Schizosaccharomyces pombe: one gene and its partner. Changing the gene in region 2 together with the main gene of any one other region gives a genetic interaction. Each region holds a gene or a part of one and is shown on either strand. Other genes may lie near its edges. The genes, in order: uge1 and ght2.

Evidence for each region.
Region 1: mutations in ght2 (region 2) and uge1 impair growth when combined (synthetic growth defect), as found in Schizosaccharomyces pombe (one study listed by BioGRID).

What each region holds. Positions count from the first base shown.
Region 1 is NC_003423.3:2,520,348-2,524,951, forward strand, and holds uge1 (UDP-glucose 4-epimerase Uge1), read right to left. Parts: upstream 2,644-4,604; 5' UTR 2,579-2,643; coding exon 2,576-2,578; exon of another isoform or gene 2,509-2,575; coding exon 2,446-2,508; exon of another isoform or gene 2,405-2,445; intron 2,278-2,404; coding exon 1,276-2,277; 3' UTR 776-1,275; downstream 1-775. Other genes in the region: Ran GTPase-binding protein Hba1, read right to left, coding at 1-423; gamma tubulin complex GCP2 subunit Alp4, read left to right, coding at 3,714-4,604. UniProt on the Schizosaccharomyces pombe protein: Major UDP-glucose/-galactose 4-epimerase under glucose-rich conditions involved in protein galactosylation.
Region 2 is NC_003423.3:3,424,996-3,430,077, forward strand, and holds ght2 (plasma membrane glucose/fructose:proton symporter Ght2), read left to right. Parts: upstream 1-2,164; 5' UTR 2,165-2,576; coding exon 2,577-4,172; 3' UTR 4,173-4,429; downstream 4,430-5,082. Other genes in the region: U1 snRNP-associated protein Prp39, read left to right, coding at 4,806-4,897, 4,945-5,082. UniProt on the Schizosaccharomyces pombe protein: High-affinity glucose transporter.

The DNA of each region.
Region 1 (4,604 bases), 900 kb from region 2:
TGAAAAGGGAGAAACACTCGCGGCAGGCTTAGCAGCCGATTCTTTTTTGCCTGTCTCTACAGCTACGTGTCCCTCATTTTCATCAACATCCTTATTCACCTTCAATTCTTTTTCTTCTACCTTACCTCCAGTTGAGATACATGGCTCCGTGTTTGATTCCTTTTGGATTTTAGTAGACTCAGTAATCTCAACCTCCGGTTTTACGCCATTGCTCTTCGTAGTCTCTTTAAATTCCTTAACTTCAGCATTCCCTTTATCTTCCAGCGGTTCACTCTTCGAGACTTTAGTGGAAACCGCTGATTCTTCTTCTGCCGGATCGTGCTTTCGCTTTGAAGTTTCGTCTTTTGTTTCGTTCGATTTTTCTTCTAACGCATTTTTGGTAGAAATGCTTTCATCTTTATTATTTTCCATTTTGCTGGTCATTATATCCACTTAAATATTATTTGCTTAATCGTATTTTCGTAATTTTTGATGTTGGGGGTATTAAGTGTAGTTTGGAATCCCGAATCACTGAAAGCCTAATATATTTCACCTAGCTATGAGTACATGAGGACGAATGTGGATTCAATCAAACACACAGCTGTTTAAAGATTTAAGATTTAATTATACGATTACATTCATTGAACAGCTGCGAATAATTTAAATTCATTTGAAAAAAAACGCTAATCTAGCATGTCATGAAGTGCAAATCTCATAACTGTCTATTTAAAAAGTTAAAAAACATTCAACCTTGGTATATATTCACTTACTCATTATTAATAATTTTGATTTCAATACGGTGCTTGACTTCTAATCTTCGGCTAACGTAAAAGTTATAGACAGTATTATAACAAGTATTATTGTAAAATCTAAGCTATATCGAAATAGGAATTGAAAATGATTGACAAAGTAGAACCTTTGAATAAAAAAATACAATTAAAAGGTGAAATATAAAGAAACTTCAATATTAGAAAAAATGTCAACTTGACGAAAATGCGTATGCAAAAGAAAGAAATAAAAATGTAAACCGAAAGTGATTGTTTTGAAATAAGCTTCATTGTTAAATCCCTTTTAAAACATAAGTTATTCGCAAACCGGTATTATTAGCGACCTAATCGATAGCTCGAGCGCACTTACAATAAACAATTAAGGTACAGGAAAGGGAAAAGGGTTCATCAAACAATACATTATAATGTCTTTGAATCCATAAGTCCTAAAACATATTATGCAAATTTGAATCAAGAAAGAGAAGGAAATTATTTAAAACCCACTTAATCCGAAAAGGAAGAGTATGGTTTACTTATATGTCTTGGTATGGGTCAGGTCAAAGCCATAGGGATACTTCTGTTGCCATCTCCAAGTGTCAACGCAAATTTCATAAATGCTACGACTGGTTTTCCATTTTAACTCCTCGTTAGCGCGAGTGGGGTTGGCGGTTAGGTTAACAACGTCCCCTGCTCTTCTAGGGGTGACCTTATAAGGAAGATCTCTTCCAACAGCTTTCGAAAACGCATTGAGCACCTGAAAAACAGTACTACCAGTTCCTGATCCCAAATTCCAAGGGCGGCAACTAACAAAATGTTGGCGCAGGTAATCGAGAGCAGCAACATGAGCCTCTGCCAAATCGCATACGTGAATGTAGTCACGAATTGGAGTACCGTCAGATGTGGGATAATCGTCGCCAAATACATTCAAATGATCCAATCTTCCTACAGCAACTTGCGCGATATAAGGAAGCAAGTTATTAGGGATGCCAAGAGGATCTTCACCGAGTTCACCAGAGGGATGAGCACCTCCGGGATTAAAATAGCGTAATAAAGCTGCATTAAGCGATTTGTTCACCTTGGTCTCATCCTCAATGATATTTTCAATGAAAAGCTTTGTGCGACCATATGGGCTTGTACCTTCACGAGGGCATGACTCTGGAATAGGAATGGTACCACCAGGTCTAGTAGGATCGCCATACACGGTAGCAGATGAAGAAAAGACGAAGTCACGTACATTATACTTCTTCATGCACTCTATTAAATTAATGGTACCGGAAATGTTATTTTTGTAATAACTCAAAGGAACCTGTACAGATTCACCAACTGCTTTGAGACCAGCAAAATGAATGACAGCAGATATGTTTTGATTTGCGAAGACCTTGTCCAAAGCTGGCTCATCAAGCAAATCCACCTGGTGGAATATGACTTTTTTCCCAGTGAGTTTTTCAATGCGGTGCACGGCTTCAACGCGAGAATTGCATAAATTATCGACAATTACAACATCATATCCTTTTTCTAACAAAACAACGCACTATTGCAGATTGTGGTTAGCAAAATATCTCAAAAAAGAGCTTTATAGAATATGGACGAAATTGTATAAAAGTAAAGAGCAGCAAGCTATATTCACAAAAGATGCGTGCTTAAAACATTTACATGTACATTACTAATCCTCTTCTGTATCTTCAAGCTCTCTACGTACCGTATGAGAACCTATATAACCAGCGCCGCCAGTAACCAACACAGTCCCTTCATGAACACCAGTCTATGAATCATAATTAGTATTTTCATACAAAAGAATGCTTTTGATTAATTAAAAAAGTTATTCATACCATTTTACACGTTATAATTTGATATTAAAGGGGTGGGCTCAAGACTGTAGCTATTATGCTCTTTCTTTGTTGGATATTCAGTTTCCTACATGCTCAAGGTATCAATGCAGGTCGTTACCTCCTGTAACCTGACATGATGTAAAACGAGCAAAAGCCACAATGAAGCTTAAGCTAAAAGTGAAAAGTGCTTGTATATCTCGCTAAACCATTTTATTGATATATCGCTAAAAAATTCCTAATCATAATATTATATAGTAACAAAGAGGTCGTCGGAATAAGTGTATAGCAGATGAATGCCTGTGATTAGGTGTATGGATTTTTCATGTTCATAAAGCATTGAGGTAGTAATTTAATGTATGTGCATTTACCAATAAATTTTTTTTTTGTATTTATTTTTTTAAAAGATGAACTCGAGATTTTACAACCAATATACACTTTGATAGATGTAATGTTTGTGATTTCACCACCAGCTTCATGCGACTACAAAATCCTTGCTTCCCTAGAAAAGCATTTTATCTGTAAATAAATCATTGATGCTTATATGTATTTTTGAAAAAATTTATTTTGTTAAAGAAATAACAAGTAAATGTATAATTAACATAAAACCGAGCTAAATTTATTGCTTTTATTATGCAAATATTACCTACTGGCTAGTAAATAAAGCGAAGTAGTCTGCATTAGAATAAAAAATTTAAACACAACAAAAAAAAAAAAAAAAAAAAAAAAAAAAAGATGAAGGGAATAAATCCCTCAAGCTTAGGATCTAAAATTTTTATCCATTCAAAATAAACTCTAGCATATAGAATTTGTCACTGTCTACTGCTATCCATATATACTCGAATGAGTATTTGGGGTCCTTTGAGTTTACGGTAGTCTTACAATAGAAAATGCTGCAGTCTTCTAGTTATGTATTTTTTGACTAATTTTTTTTATACTTTTTTGCATTTTTTAATGCTACACGGACCTGAGTTGGTTTGCTTTGAAATTGCGTTGATTGTTAGCTGGCGCATACTTACCAACCTACATCTTAAAACTGGCCTGCTGGTAAACAAGCATATCCGAATAATAATTACAAAGAGCACTAAATATTAAATAAATGTTCACACTTTTGTAGATTATATAAAAAAAGACTCTTTAAATGGTGAGATCGATTAGTTCGGTGCTTGCTAAAGAAGAAAGCGAGAATGGGAGTCCAATTCCAGCTCTCGAGGAAGGGAGCGTTTATCATGTCTCTTTGAAGAGTGAAGGTGTTTCTCCATTTTCTGATAGGATTCAATTAAATTATCTTTACGATGGGAAGACTTTTAGCGATCCTTCGAACTTAAATATCCATCAGCAGGAAGCATGTCTCATAAACGAACTCTTAAATGCATTTATGGGCATGGAGGGTGTATTTGTACATCTCCAAGACATGAAAGCATCCTCTGAGTTTGAAACCATTATTATGCCGCCATCGTTTTATATTCTTCCTGGATTTGATTTAGGTATAAAGGATATTGCTTCTGAGATGTTAGAGATGGGGTCTCATTATTTAAGTATCACAGCTTTTATAGAATCGAGAAGCCATTTTGAATACGGATTTGTTAACCACGCATTGTGCGCTGCTTTGCGAAAGTTTGTGATGGACTACGTGGTACTTATCATGCAGTGTGAAAATCAGAGCCGAATTGATCCAAATTTTTCTCTTCAAACTCTTCGCCTTTATACTCTTCCCACATCGCGTTCATTACGACAAGTGTATTTAATTCTACGTGACCTGCTTTTGTCTATGGAAAAGAATGCTTCCAGCAGCGATGATTTAGGTCTTAGTAACATCGACGATCTTTTAGAGCAACTTAATGAAGGAAATGACATTTCACATGTTGTTAATGCCACTAGGTCTAAGAAAAAGGTTTGTAAAGGTGGGCAAGTCATTTCTTTTTTGACCGAAAGTCTTACGAAATATGCGGGTGATCCTGTGGCACGAAAAATCCTAACCTATTTATTGCGCGAAGCTTCACGCCCTTATACAAAAATGTTGAATGAGTGG
Region 2 (5,082 bases):
GTCCTATTAAGAAATACAACAGCCGAGAACAGAAGAGCAGTCACAAACCATTTTTTATTCCACAATATTAGATTGTATTAACACAAATAAAATTTTTTTTTCAAGGCATTCTCTACAATATCGAAGACATTCAACGTATAAAGGTTAGTCTTGATTCAAATACTTACCCTTGTAATTTCAATTTAATGTTAGACAAAGTTATTGCCCCAACGTCTCTGGAAAACGCGGATGCAAATTGTGGAGGAGGCAGAACTGGAAAAAGTATCAGCCAATCATCAACATGTCTGAAAAAAAATTCCAAGATATTTCTAAGCCTAGCTCGTAAAAACGGGTGACAAGACATGTATGGCGCTATCGAAGTACGAAAATAGAAAATTGCCAGACGATATTAGAGTAAAAGACACAAAAAGAATTTCATTTATTCACCCTATTATAATTTTTCAGCTTTCATCAATGTATGCGTACTAACTAAAAAAATTATCGGTGGTCATTTAAAAACAACAAAACCATCCAGCATTCATCACATGTCTTTCATCCAATCAAATGTAGTTATAGCTATTATCGTCCAATAGATTGCAGAGGCGGGATCAAAATCCCCTTAGGCAAAATTGGTAGGCTTCTCCACAGTTTTTCTCAGACTTGGGAAGAATGGAGCGGGGTAGGGAAATATAGCAAGACCCTGTCTTACAATGATTGGGCAAAAGCTTCACATATATGGGAGCAATATATGTACAATAGGCGCTTTTCACGGACATAGCAAACCTTGTTAGTAATGAGTTGGGCGTATTTAAGGAGGTCCCAAGGCCTCAAAAGTCGTTTACCAAGTTCATAACTTTTTAGGGACTACGTTAGTTAGCGATGAATTAGTGATGATTTAGTGTGCAGCGTTTACATTTTCTTAACACAGACAATTGCAGTACGGGTTACAGCTCCATATTTCTTCTATAGTCCGAATGAAGTATGGGCGTACACGTAATCAAGGGATAGAAGTATCCTTTTACACCGAACTGTTCAAGAGCGAATATATCGCTTGAGAATTCTGTTTTTTTTTGAAAAGGTTCATTGTCCATCCATATTTACCTTCTTGTTAGGGAGTCTCGCTAGGATGGTTGGTGTCGCGGTCGATGTATGGTCTCCAGGTTGGGGGCCCCTAGCTATCCTGACTTGGATAGGACAGAGATAAGATACACGTTGCGTGACGTTTTCTTAAAAAAAAAGAGCACGGCTATGCTCTATTCATGTTACTAGTTAATACTAGAGGAACTCCGCATTTAGGTTAGTTCCGTTATGGACTCGAATATGTGGAGCTCGAGAATGCAAGCAATCGAAATTTGAAGGATTATGGTTCCGTAACGTTAATTGTTCTATTGCCAGCTTTGAGATAGTCATGCAGCGATGAGAGTATGCTGTGTTTTAAACTTTGATATTTGCTGGTTCCAATACGTATGGCCACCATTGGTATTATTTTTTCGCCTTGCGAATTAATTTTACTGCAGACACTTTACTTCTTTTGCCTCAGGAAACGTTTTTTTGTGTTCAATCTTGATTTAACGATATGAGGAGTATAGAAATATACTTGGTTTTTTCGGTTACTTTGCTAAAATTATTGACGTTGGAATACACTCTGTATTTGCTAGCAGTCCGAACTTGCAGCCTCGGTCGCCAAAGTATTTAAATTTACTTTACTTTTGAGAATTATTCCTACATCACATTTATTGAAAGTCGTTTTTTCATCCTGTTATCGGCTTTCTACCTCACTAATAGTGTCTTTCCCCAGTATATGCATCAGTTTCATTACGTACAGTGTATCATTTTACGATTGAATTTTTTTTTTTGCTATGGAGAATTAATGATATCGTGACATTTTTACCTCGTTCTTGACTTTCAACGAGCTGTTGATCCTCGTCATACACGTCGTTTAAATTCTATTCCACATCTTATTCGTTCTTATTTGTGTGTGACTGCGTTTTTTTAAGTCGGCGTCCAATGATACAAGAGTTTGCTAACTACCTTGTTGCCCTTGTAATATTGTGACGTATAACCAAAAACTCTCCGGCGATCCTGTCTAAAATTTCACTGAAAGCAAAGGACTTTTGATACTTTTGTCGGGGTTTCTCTTCCCGAATTTAGTATAAAAGCTGCCCTCTTGACTGTTAAAATCTTTACCTAGACCTATTCTTGCTTTTTAAGTGCAAGAGCAACTTTAGTCTTCATTTACCTAAAAATCCTTTCTTTTTTTGGTTAAACAAGAACGAAATCCAAAGAAAGCTCAATAAAAGCATTGTGCTTTCCTTGGTTACCCTTTCTTTATACCGATTTTGAAAATACAAGCTCTCTGTGCTTGAAAATCATAATCTAGATTAATTTTTCTTTTAATTTTTATTTATTGAGAATCTCTTGTCAAGATCTCTAACTCATAAACTGTCTGTTCTTTGTTCTATCATTTCTGCTTAACGTGTTGCAACTGAAATAGACGTGTGGTTAATTTTATTCAATCTTTTATTTTCCACTTACATCCTTTCTATAGAATTTTTGTTTTTTTTCATCTTTATTAGATTCCTTTATACTTTATCAAAATGGGGTTCAAGCGTGGAAAGAATTTTACCCTTGTTATGTTAATTTTCGTCTCCATGGCCGGTTGGATGTTTGGTGCTGATACCGGTTCCATTGGTGGTGTTACTAGTATGCGCGATTTTCGTGAGCGTTATGCTGATAGATATGACCCGATCACCGACCAGTATTCTTTGTCTTCGGCTCGTCAAGGTCTTTTAACTGGTATGGTTAACGTTGGTTCCTTGTTTGGATGTATCATTTCTTCTCCCATTGCCGATCGTTTTGGTAAGAGACTTTCTATCATTGGTTTTTGTGCTGTTTATATCATTGGTATCATCGTTCAAGTTACCGCTGTTCCCTCTTGGGTACAAATCATGGTTGCCAAGATTTGGACTGGTATTGGTATTGGCGCTCTTTCTGTCTTGGCTCCTGGATATCAATCAGAGACTGCTCCTCCCAGTATTCGTGGTACCGTCGTCGTCACTTATCAGTTGTTTGTCACTGGTGGAATTTTCATTGCCGCTTGTATCAATATGGGTACTCACAAACTTCATAAAACTGCCCAGTGGCGTGTTTCAATTGGTATTAATCTCCTTTGGGGTATCATTACCATGATTGGAATTCTCTTCCTTCCCGAATCCCCTCGTTATCTTATTCAAGTTGGCAAGGATGAAGAGGCTGTTAGAGTTCTTTCTGAAAGTGCTGAGCTTTTTCCTGATAGTGAGGAAGTTCAAAATGAATATCACCGTCTCAAATCATCTATTGACGAAGAATTTGCTGGTGGCCCTTGCAGCTGGGCAAGCATTTTCGGTAAAGACATTCGTTATCGTACTTTCCTTGGTATGTTTGTTATGTCGCTTCAACAATTGACCGGTAACAACTATTTCTTCTACTATGGTTTCTCAGTTATGCAAGGAGCTGGTATTAATTCTCCTTACCTATCTGCTATGATTCTTGATGCAGTTAATTTTGGCTGCACTTTTGGTGGTATGTATGTATTGGAAAGGTTTGGTCGTCGTAACCCTCTTATCATTGGTGGTATTTGGCAGTCAATTTGCTTTTTCATTTATTCAGCTGTCGGTTCTCGTGCTTTATATCATAAGAACGGTACTTCAAATACCCGTGCTGGTGCCGTTATGATTGTCATGGCATGTCTTTTCATTTTTGGATTTGCTCAAACTTGGGCTCCTGCCGCATACGTTATTGTTGGTGAGTCATACCCTGTTCGTTACCGCTCTAAGTGTGCTGCCGTCGCTACTGCTAGCAACTGGCTCTGGAATTTCCTAATTTCATTCTTTACTCCATTCATTCAAGCTTCTATTGGATTCAAGTACGGTTACGTTTTTGCTTCTTGTAATTTGACCGGTGCAATTGTTATTTTCTTGTTTGCTAAAGAGACTAAAGGTCTTACTTTGGAAGAAATTAATGAGTTGTATATGTCTGTCATCAAGCCCTGGGAATCTGGTAACTTTAAGCTTAACTATTCTGAGCAAAAGAAAGTTGAGAAAGAGAAATCCAGAAAGGGCGGTGCCCGTGGTGAGTCTGTTGAGTATGTTGAGCGTGCTTCAAACACTGACTCATCTCCACAATACTCTTCCCATGAGGAAGATTACGCATAAGGCAATAGCTAAACGTCTTTGTATGATTTATGAATTGTGTGAGGCAGCTAGATCCAAAATTTGTTGTTCCGATTCGTTGGGTCTATATATTATATTATTAGCTAAGTTTGGATTGATAATTTGTTAAGTTACTGTGCATCTTAAATCTAGTTTTTTGAGATTATGTTCGTTTGCATATAATATTAGATACATGTGCATTCTTTGTCCATTTTTGTGTTTTTGTGTTCATTATAGGAAATAATATTTTTTATACCTAATTAAGTTTTTGTTGATTCGTTGCTTAGTAGCTAAGTATTTCCAATGTTAATAAATATTTGTAAATGTTGAAGTGAGTCATGTTTATACAGTGATTTGTAGTTGAATTTTCATTATATTAGTAAGTCTGTTACAGAACAATAATCATTTTACGCTTGTGTATCGCCCAAATGTACTTTATTAGTTATTAATTTTTAAATCAGCGTTGCGGGCAGTGTCGTATTATTCTGTATGATACGATTCGGCAGACTAATGTACTGCACTAAACTAATATTGTAATTTATTTAAGTTCAACCGAATACGGCTGAAGAAAGTATATTTCGTTGCTGTTCGATATTTACATTTTATCCTTACGCGCTTTTATACTTGCGAACCAAAATGGATTATGGGGATATTTACATTGCAGAGGAAACAGAATGGGATAAATATAATCGTCAAATAAATAAAAATCCAGATGATTTTGATGCTTGGTAGGATGTTGTCAGATACAACTTATTTAGTGCTAATTATGATTTAGGGAAGGACTGGTTCGTGCTTCAGAACATCTTGAGGGAGGTGTTGGCAGAAACTCTTCGAAACAGGCTATCAATACATTAAGAAGTGTGTACGATCGATTCTTGGGAAAATATCCGCTATTGTTTGGTTATTGGAAGAA